Linked DNA regions of Oryzias latipes. The main gene of each other region encodes a partner of the protein of the gene in region 3 in a complex. Links are inferred from orthologs where the notes say so. Each region holds a gene or a part of one and is shown on either strand. Other genes may lie near its edges.

Evidence for each region.
Region 1: exosc7 (region 3) and exosc2 share a complex: the UniProt entries of both Homo sapiens proteins name them as parts of the RNA exosome core complex. The link is inferred for Oryzias latipes from reciprocal best matches to the Homo sapiens genes EXOSC7 and EXOSC2.
Region 2: exosc7 (region 3) and exosc6 share a complex: the UniProt entries of both Homo sapiens proteins name them as parts of the RNA exosome core complex. The link is inferred for Oryzias latipes from reciprocal best matches to the Homo sapiens genes EXOSC7 and EXOSC6.

The regions. Positions count from the first base shown.
Region 1 is NC_019870.2:12,827,852-12,830,067, forward strand, and holds the end of exosc2 (exosome complex component RRP4), read right to left. Parts: intron 1,487-2,216; coding exon 1,358-1,486; intron 979-1,357; coding exon 898-978; 3' UTR 654-897; downstream 1-653. UniProt on the Homo sapiens protein: Non-catalytic component of the RNA exosome complex which has 3'->5' exoribonuclease activity and participates in a multitude of cellular RNA processing and degradation events.
Region 2 is NC_019864.2:25,018,330-25,021,322, forward strand, and holds exosc6 (exosome complex component MTR3), read right to left. Parts: upstream 2,165-2,993; 5' UTR 1,786-2,164; coding exon 1,508-1,785; intron 1,304-1,507; coding exon 763-1,303; 3' UTR 569-762; downstream 1-568. UniProt on the Homo sapiens protein: Non-catalytic component of the RNA exosome complex which has 3'->5' exoribonuclease activity and participates in a multitude of cellular RNA processing and degradation events.
Region 3 is NC_019869.2:5,728,436-5,732,200, reverse strand, and holds the start of exosc7 (exosome complex component RRP42), read left to right. Parts: upstream 1-1,513; 5' UTR 1,514-1,595; coding exon 1,596-1,652; intron 1,653-1,745; coding exon 1,746-1,847; intron 1,848-1,919; coding exon 1,920-2,014; intron 2,015-2,695; coding exon 2,696-2,861; intron 2,862-3,765. UniProt on the Homo sapiens protein: Non-catalytic component of the RNA exosome complex which has 3'->5' exoribonuclease activity and participates in a multitude of cellular RNA processing and degradation events.

The DNA.
Region 1 (2,216 bases), on a different chromosome or scaffold from region 3:
AGGGATAAATCGAATTCTTTTTTTAGCTTTCTTCATTTAAAAGAATACAAGGTTGGTTAGAAAAAACATTCAGGAATAACAAAGGTGATTGCACACTTTTATATAAATAAAGTCACTTTTTATTAACCTGTCTTAGAGTAGAACATTTTTTTTAGTTATCAAACAACTATGAGAAAAAAAATTAAATCCTGCATATAAAACTAACAATTAATGAATTTTCAAAAATTAGTACATAAAAAGGGAAATGTAGGCCATGTTCCAACTAATAAATATTTTATGTAGCAAATTGAATTTCATTTTTTTATTGTTTAAAATAAAAAACATTTCTTGAGAGCTAATGATTCAGACTGTTATGAAAAAAAAGTATTTAAGTTAGTAGAAGCATGAAGCACCAAAATGCTGCTAAACATTTAACAATATTTAATTTAACATTTAATGAAGAGTGAAATAATCAGATTTATTTTAAGATCTAACATTAACCCTGAAGACCCATTTTCCTTCAAACGAAAATTATTTTGAATATACAAAAATCCAAGTGGACCAAAGAACACACTTTTGATGATTTTGTTACAATTATGTCCACCATGGGTTCTTATAGGTTAATTGATTCAATGTACTCATTGTTTTTTATCAATACAGACCACGATGAGAACTATACAGAAATGACTGAAATTTTATTTTATACAAAACCATCACAATGTAATGTCACACCGAGCATTTACAAATGTGGACAACATTTTAATTTTCATTCAGGTTATATGCATTATTAATGTTTGATATCAAATAAAGAATGTGATCTCTGAGCACCTCACTTTGATTCATAGAAGACAACTAAACTTAATTTTTGGATAAGTGGATGGTGGCCCCGTTGTTGGATGTGGTTTTAGCATTAGCCTTTTATCCTTCCTGTTCCAGCAGCTTCTGTTGGGTCAACATGACAATCTCTTCCATCACCTCGGGTTTTAAGATGTCCTTGACCTACAGGCAGGGAAAAGGGAAATCTTTAAAACAGGTTGTTATCGTTTTGTAAAAGTCCAGAAACATTTATAGTTACATGCATTTCACCAAAATACACGAATTGCTCATAAATTTACCATTTCTCAGAATAAATTAAAAACATATATTTATATCTGATTTGTTTATTTCAATAAATAATGTCTGTTCCATTCTGCAAATACAAATAAATGTGAAGGTTCCTAGTTCCAGGCCGATTTATTATGTCACCACCAGATGGCGCAATTTATTGCAAAAACAAAAAGTATAATCACTGCAAGGTTTTTATTTCATCGTATCAGAAAAAAGGACACGGTTTATGAAATATTATGGGTATTTTTTTTTTTAACTTTTGGTTTCCTACCGAATGCTGCAGGGAAGATTCATAGCAATAGAGAACACTGGTGTCGTACAAAAGGACTTTGTGTGCAGCCAAGGCCAGTAAGCAGTTCCTCAGCCGTGAAATCACCTCTCGATCTGACAGGCTAACAGGCTGCAAAGAAAAAGACCACAAATTGATTTTTTTTTTAAGTTTAGTTTAGGGAAATCTACCAGAAGCAGGAGAATAACATATCATTTTCAAAATGACTATCATTCAAAGACGATCTTAGTTTTGAGTTGATTTACATCAGCAAAGAACTGTGATTGAGGTAGAGTGAATATCAGTTAAAGCTTAAAGATTCACAACATTAGCTATATTACATTTTTTTTAAAAGCCTCAGCAACAATGAACAGAAAGGCGCAAACGATTGGTTAGAGCAGCCTCAGTCTTGGCAAGGGCTCTGAGAAAAACACAGGAGGCAGAGCTAGAGATTGCAGAGATGAAGATGCCGAGGCTTTCTTTTGGAGTTATGAGGATGGATAGGATTAGGAAGGAAAAAAAAATCAGGGGAACAGCTTGTATTCGATGTTTTGGAGATAAATGCAGAGAAGTAGATTGAGATGGTTTGGACACACTAAGAAGAGGGACAATGATGATGTTGGTAAAAAGATTCTGAGATTGGAGCTACCAGGAAAGAGACCTAGAGGAAGTCCAAAGAGGAGGTTTATGGATGTAATAAAGGAGGACATGAGGGTGATTGGTGTGAGGGGAGATGGGGTTAGATGGGGTGGATGATTCAATGGTGCAAAGAAAAAGATACATTCAATAAGGATTCTTCAGATGACACAGCAAAAGCCAGAGAATGGGAATCAAAGCTAAGCCTCAATCAGTTAAAATATTT
Region 2 (2,993 bases), on a different chromosome or scaffold from region 3:
AAGCAAGAATGTATAAAAAAATGTATTTTTTTACGGTGTATTTATTAGGAAAGACTAGAAGGAAGAAAACTATTTAGTAAAACAGGAAAAAATGGAATAAATATTACAAACTAGCGATGGGCAAATGATACTGAGGTAGTGGAGCTTGTGTCACTTTTCCTGAATTGGAGCAATTCAAAGCGTAGTATCAGATCCTGAATGAAAACACGGGTGACACATTACCATATAATATCCAAGCTGAGTTTCACTTTGGAGAACAAATAGGAGTTTGGTACTTTTTCTTTAAAGAAAATGTGCAAACAAATGCAATCTGACCTTCTGTATTATACATTTCTGTGATAAAATGCTAACCAAAATACAAAAAGACTAGGATTTTTTATTTTTTATTCTGTATTTTTATTTTTAAAATAACAAAACAGACATTTGCATTAAAACATTTTCTTTTTTTAAACCAGTCATTCTCAGTTTTTCATAATTTGTTTTCTTTTTTCTCCCCTATAGCATAAAGAGCAGGAAAAACTTTGTTTACCTTATTTAGATTTTTGGGGCATGGGGGGAAAAAAAAAAATCAACAAACTGACTCAAAGTTTTGTCCTGCAGGCAGACGGTGGAGAAATGAATAAATAGGATCAATCTGTTTCTTAGATCAGGGGGACGCTGGCGGATCCTTTCACCTCAGATCAAGAAACAAGGTGAAAAACTGTTTTGAATTTTAAAGTTCTTGTTGAAGACTCAGACAAAAAATAGTGTTGACTTTGCCTCTCAGCTTTCGGGTGGTGGGGGTTGCGCTCTGCGCACAGCCTTAACCAAAGCCTGCTGGATTACTGGGTACAGTTTGTAACATCCCTCAATGCAGGTCCGAATCCCTGCCGTCAGAGTCTCTTCAGCCATTTCTCCATCCGACTGCAGGCCGGAAACCTGGTTCAGGCTGGGGAGAAACGCCACGGTGAGCCCTCCTTGGTGTTCGCTGCTGCTCCAGTTGCTCTCTTCTGAGTAAGTGGGGTCGACCACGTAGGAGGAGCCATCCTGTCGGATGGAGCAGCCCAGCACCAGGTCGTACATTTCAATCCCCGCGTCAGCCAGTGCCAGGGAGGCGCACGTGATGGCGTGGGCCTGAACCGAACCGCTGTTCTCCAGGACCATGACGTTGACCTCAATCTGGGAGCGGGGGTATTTGTGAAGGCACAAGGCCGGCTGCAGACTCTCCTGCAGCATCAGGGAGAAGTTCTTGTCCTGGCTCCCCTGGATCCAGGAGCCCCTCTCCGGACAGGAAAACGGGGCGAAGCGCATGTCTGTGGTCAGTCTGGTTAAGCAGATGTGTTGATTTATCAACTTTTGACTTTAAATGTATTGTTTAAAAAATTAAACTGATTTTCTATTTTACTAATTCTAGCAGAATCCAATTACAGCCTTATCACATAGTTATTTTTTACTTTGTTATATCATTGAATGCAAACATATTTCTATTAGTCTTCCATTATAAAACTGGATGAAGACCACTACATACCGTCCACATTTCATGTCAGTCTCATCTTTCCGCTCCGTCTCTCTCGGGCCGTAAACGCTGCACAGCAGCTTGGTGTCTCCAGCTTCTATGTACGCGGAACCTTTAGCTTGACTCACCAGGCCGCAGCGCACAAACACCGGCCGGACGTCCACCTGGTCCCGCTGGCGGCCGTCCGCTCGGGCCCCATGCGACGGGGGAACCACAGAGGGTCTGCAGTCAAACAAAGACGGGCTTTGAGACACCTCGGGCCCGCGTACACGTTTGGTGTCCGTCGGCATGGCGATCTCTTCTCACGTGAACCGAATGAAGCGGGTGTTCAGGGATCGGTCCGTCAATAAATCTGTCCCCACAGCAACACGGTTCCGCTTGTTCCGATAGTGTTGTCATGTTTCATCATCTTTATTAATTTGAATTTATTCATAAAAAATAAATTAATTCTGATGGTATTATTTAATTTTCAACATATTTTATTTGTAACAGTAAATAAAATACACGCAATAGCTAAATCTTAGCAATTTAGTCAAAGCAAAATTCCGTTACGCCTTTTCTTTTAGCTAGAAATGCTTCGAATGTGTATAACTTTTGTTAGAAATTAATTATTCGTTGCACAACTAAAATAAATTGTACGTGCTAGTTGGCATCTGCGTCTTTTTCATTGCATCAACCACAGCAGAGGAGTTTGCACCACTAATGTGGCGGGCTCGGCTAAAACTGACAGCTTGGCTCGACCAATGGGATTGAGCGTTCGCCGGCTTCCTGCACATCTGAACCAATAGGTGGCGTCCGTGGGCGTGTCCATCGCCTCTGCACTTCCCTTCTGAGCGAGCAGCGTGGACTGAAGCGGTGTTTTGGGGAGCTGTGACCGGTTCGTTTTGTGATAACAGCATCTTATGTGAGTCAAACTACTTGCTTGGGTAAATGACACTCACTGTGTTGATTCGCCGGTTAGTTTTCCCCTCATAGTTGACTTCCAAATTCACTAGCAGGGACGGAAATTTCAGCGGTTGCTTTTGACTGGCTAGCATAGCAGTTTGCTAGCGTCAGGTCAGTTAGTGCATTTTGATTTGTCAGATTTAGAATGAAAGGTTTTCCAAATAGTTTTACTTACCTTTGCTTCGAAATATAGTATAGTTTTAGGGCCAGTTTGAAAGAAATGATGACTGTCAGTATAATGGCGGTTTACGACGCTGAAGTTGGCTTCCGATTCACAGCTTCCGATTCGCGAAGGCACAAAAGAAACATTCCGCTGCATTTTTCGCATTAAGATCACCCAAAACCGGGTCCTGTTCAAAAACCGCTGGACCTGGACTGCTCAAACCTGGATTAAATTATACATTAGATACTAAAGAACACATTAAATATAGTTTCTGATTTGTGAAACCTTCCTTTGATTTGTGAAAATCTGAAATAGATTGATGTTTATCGCATTTTACGCACTGAGTCCACCTTAGACCAGGTCCTGTTCAAAAACCGCAGGACCTGGACT
Region 3 (3,765 bases):
ATCGAACCACGTCCGCCCCGCCCGCTGTGATCGTTAGCTAAATCCCCGCTAACGCGTGTACTCAATGGCTTCTTCCTGGTTTCTGGTCTCCGTTTAATTAACAAGGTAATTTGCTAGCTAGTTCTTCGACTTAAACTTTAATAAGTCACTGTATTTTATGTTTTCTTGAAGGGTCTCATCCAGAAATCTCTGCGGGAGGAATAAAAACGCACCCATACCCAACCAGGAAGTTTGATTACCCCTAGTAGATTCGCCCTGGGTATGGTCTGTCAGGAGAGAACCCGGGAAGGACTTCCTGTAAACTGACCAATCAGATTATGGTCTAAAATTAAATCCACCCCTTTGGCCAAAACGCAGGGCAATTTTTCTTCCATTTAAAATCATTTTATTTTTTTTACAAGTACTTCCAAAAAACACCCAAATAATCATATTTCTGACAATACATACTACAATACAATGCAATCAAACCACAATTTACAGATCTGAAAATTAATGATATTCCCCTAAAAGATGAAAAAAAAATGCACCAATAAATTAGTAACTCTAACCTTTAAACAAATAACTTTCTGCAACTTTAGTATAAACAATAGACGGGACTTAGAAACCACCCTAATGAACACATTTTTTTCTTTATACACAAAGTACCCACTTCCACCTAAAATGAAAGAAACGCATTTTAAAATAATATCTCAAATTTACCCTGTTGGAGATTTTTTTACATAAAAGATTCAAATTTCAATCGGAGCCATGCCTATTCTGTTAATCTGAAACTGAAACGTTAGAACATCTCTGTTACAGTTACAGATAAAAATATTTTGGACTGATATTCACAATTGGTTGTCACTCAAAGTTTTAAATATTCCCTTTTTTCCTTATCTGTTGTTATTTTCTATATGGAAAATATGGACCCAGGAATTTCTGATGTCATTAATGTTGTTATTATTTAATGCAAAAATTTCATTCATTTATGTAAATGGAAAACTACATGCCCTTTGTTTGGTATTTTTTGAATTACTTTTCTGATTATTATAAGTGTCTTAAATGCATTCCAAACAAAAACAAGAAAACTACAGTAATTTATCAAAATATATCAAACGTACTGTTATTTTGAATTGTTTTTTGCCTTGCCTTTATCATATTTTTTAAATTTTGTTTTGTTTTTTCAATATGCGCATTTATAACGATTGTTCACCCTAACTTGTTTTGTATATGTGCATTTATAAATATAAAAAAATCTGAATATAATTAAATAGAAATATATTTTAAAACTGTCTATATACTCTTTATGATATGGACAAACATAGCACAAGCATCTACATTCCTACACAGAAGAAAAAAAAGATTACTCTCAAAAATGTATTATTATTGTCATTATTTTATTATTATTATTGTTTTTGTATTATTATTATTATTATTATTATTATTATTATTATTATTATTATTATTATTATTATTATTATTATTATTAAATTTTGTGATGTTGAACAGCAGCTCCCACTTCTTCCAGGTGGTGGCGACATAGTTCCTTCATCGAGAAAACTGTAGAAGAAGAGCCTCCCGGCACCGTTTCTTCTTCTTCTGTTTGTTGAGTTAACATGGCAACAGTTAAAGTTAGCGAGGCTGAAAAGGTGTACATTCTACACGGAATAAGAGTGAGTTGTTCTAGAAATGTGTGCTCTATTAAGCTAAATGTCTGTGAAGTTGTCACACCAACCTAAAGATGTGGATGTTTGTATTCTCCTCAGGATGATTTACGTGTGGATGGAAGAAGCTGTGAGGACTACCGACACATGGAAGTGGAGACGGATGTGGTCTCAAACACTGATGGATCTGCCAGAGTCTCCCTGGTAAAATCAACATTTACGTGTGAAAGATCCGCAGAAACAGTGTCTTTATTTTCCTTCCATCGTGCTTCTCAGGGACACACCGCCGTCCTGGTTGGGATTAAAGCAGAAATAGGAAAACCAAGACCACTGGTTCCAGATGAAGGATACCTGGAGTTCTTTGTTGATTGGTAGGTTTAGTGTGCATTTAAAGCAGGTTTGGACATCAAAATGTGCACAATTTGACATTTGACAGAATTGTATTGCATCAAAACAGTAAAGAAAAACATTGAATAGCCTCTATAGTTTATTAAAATGAATAATGTTTGCATTTTTGGCTTGATATAAATATTAGAAATACCTGAACCCTAAACCGTTACATATTTGATTTCTTTTTGGCTAAGTTGGGAAGTCTCTCTTGATGTTTTTGTTGAGATCATTACATGTTCTAAAGCTTATAATGCATGTTTAAATATTTTTTGTGTTTGTTTTTGAAGTTTGAAGGATGTCTTTGTCCTGCGAAGCATTTTAAAGTAATGAGGATGTTTTAAAAATAAAGTTTATTTTGGATATCTGTTTTTGTTTAAATCATCTTGCAGGATAATAAACTCCTAAACTAATAACTGCTGGGATTAACTGTTGCACCATTGACTCAGTTTTCCCCACTTCTCTCCGCTTTCTTCTGATTCTGTAACTCCTCATTCCGATTGGCTGAACTCACCTGATCCAGGTATTCAGCTTTAAGACGTAGAGGGTGTTCATGAGGACCATGCCGGGCTGTTCTGGTTTAAGAATCGGAACCAAACTGAGTTATTGTCAATGTTTGATGTTTTTTTTTGATTCCCTGACATTTTTTTCCCCAACACCCCCAGCTCTGCCAACGCCACCCCCGAGTTTGAAGGCAGAGGAGGTGAGGAGCTAGGGATCGAGCTGAGCAACACTCTCTACAGAGTCTTCAACAACAAGAACAGCATAGACCTGAAGGGCCTCTGCATCAGTGCTGGGGAGCACTGCTGGGTTCTCTATGTAGATGTCCTGGTGAGTCTCTTTAACATAAAAATATAAACACAACATAAAAATGTTAAAAATAAAACAATAAACACAACAACAATAGACGTAAATTCAGTAATAATGCTAAATCTTATGATTTTTAAGTTTTTTAGAATTTTGGGTAAAAAATTGGGTTAAAAAAACAGGTTGAAGTAGACATTTACATGTTTTTTGTTTGTTTAGGAAAAACTTGTTGCTGCATTTAGATTTTTTTTTTAAATAAAGTTAAGCAAGTGTTTTGTTTACCTTGTATGCATTAAAAATGAAATGCTGAAGTATGTCTGCTGTGCTGCTGAGGGGTAGCAGATGGGGTCAAATCAGGTTAAAATTAAGAAAAAATAAGGTTGTAAACTTGAAAAAAGAAAAAGAAGAATGTTTTGAAATGGTGTTAAACTTGAAATTATACATTCTAAACTTGAAGAAATACAGAAAATTGGATACAAAGATTGTAGATTTAAAACTTAAACTAAAAAAACTATAAACTTACAAATGTTACCAAATAAAAAATGATCTTCATTTGTAGCAGCTGCCGTTTTATATAGTGAAGTTTTGGTTTTTTCGTTTGTTTAACTAACAAAAACATACCAGTTTCTAATAAACATTAATTTTATTTCATTTTCACTGTAGGTTTATAGTTTTTTTATTCTAGTTTCATAATTATATGCTGTTGTTTTTTTTTCTTTCTAATTTTAAGCGTCATTTCTTCATAGTTGGGTAAAATAATTAAGAGACACTGATGTAACTCCATAGTAGCACTTCAACTTGTGAAAGTATCAAGAAATATGTATTTTATTTTATTTTTTGTTCCTTAAACCCCAAATAGTCATACCGGCCTGCAGTGGATGCAGTTTGTTTTTCATGGAGGAGGTTTGTCGGACTCAAGAAACACTAA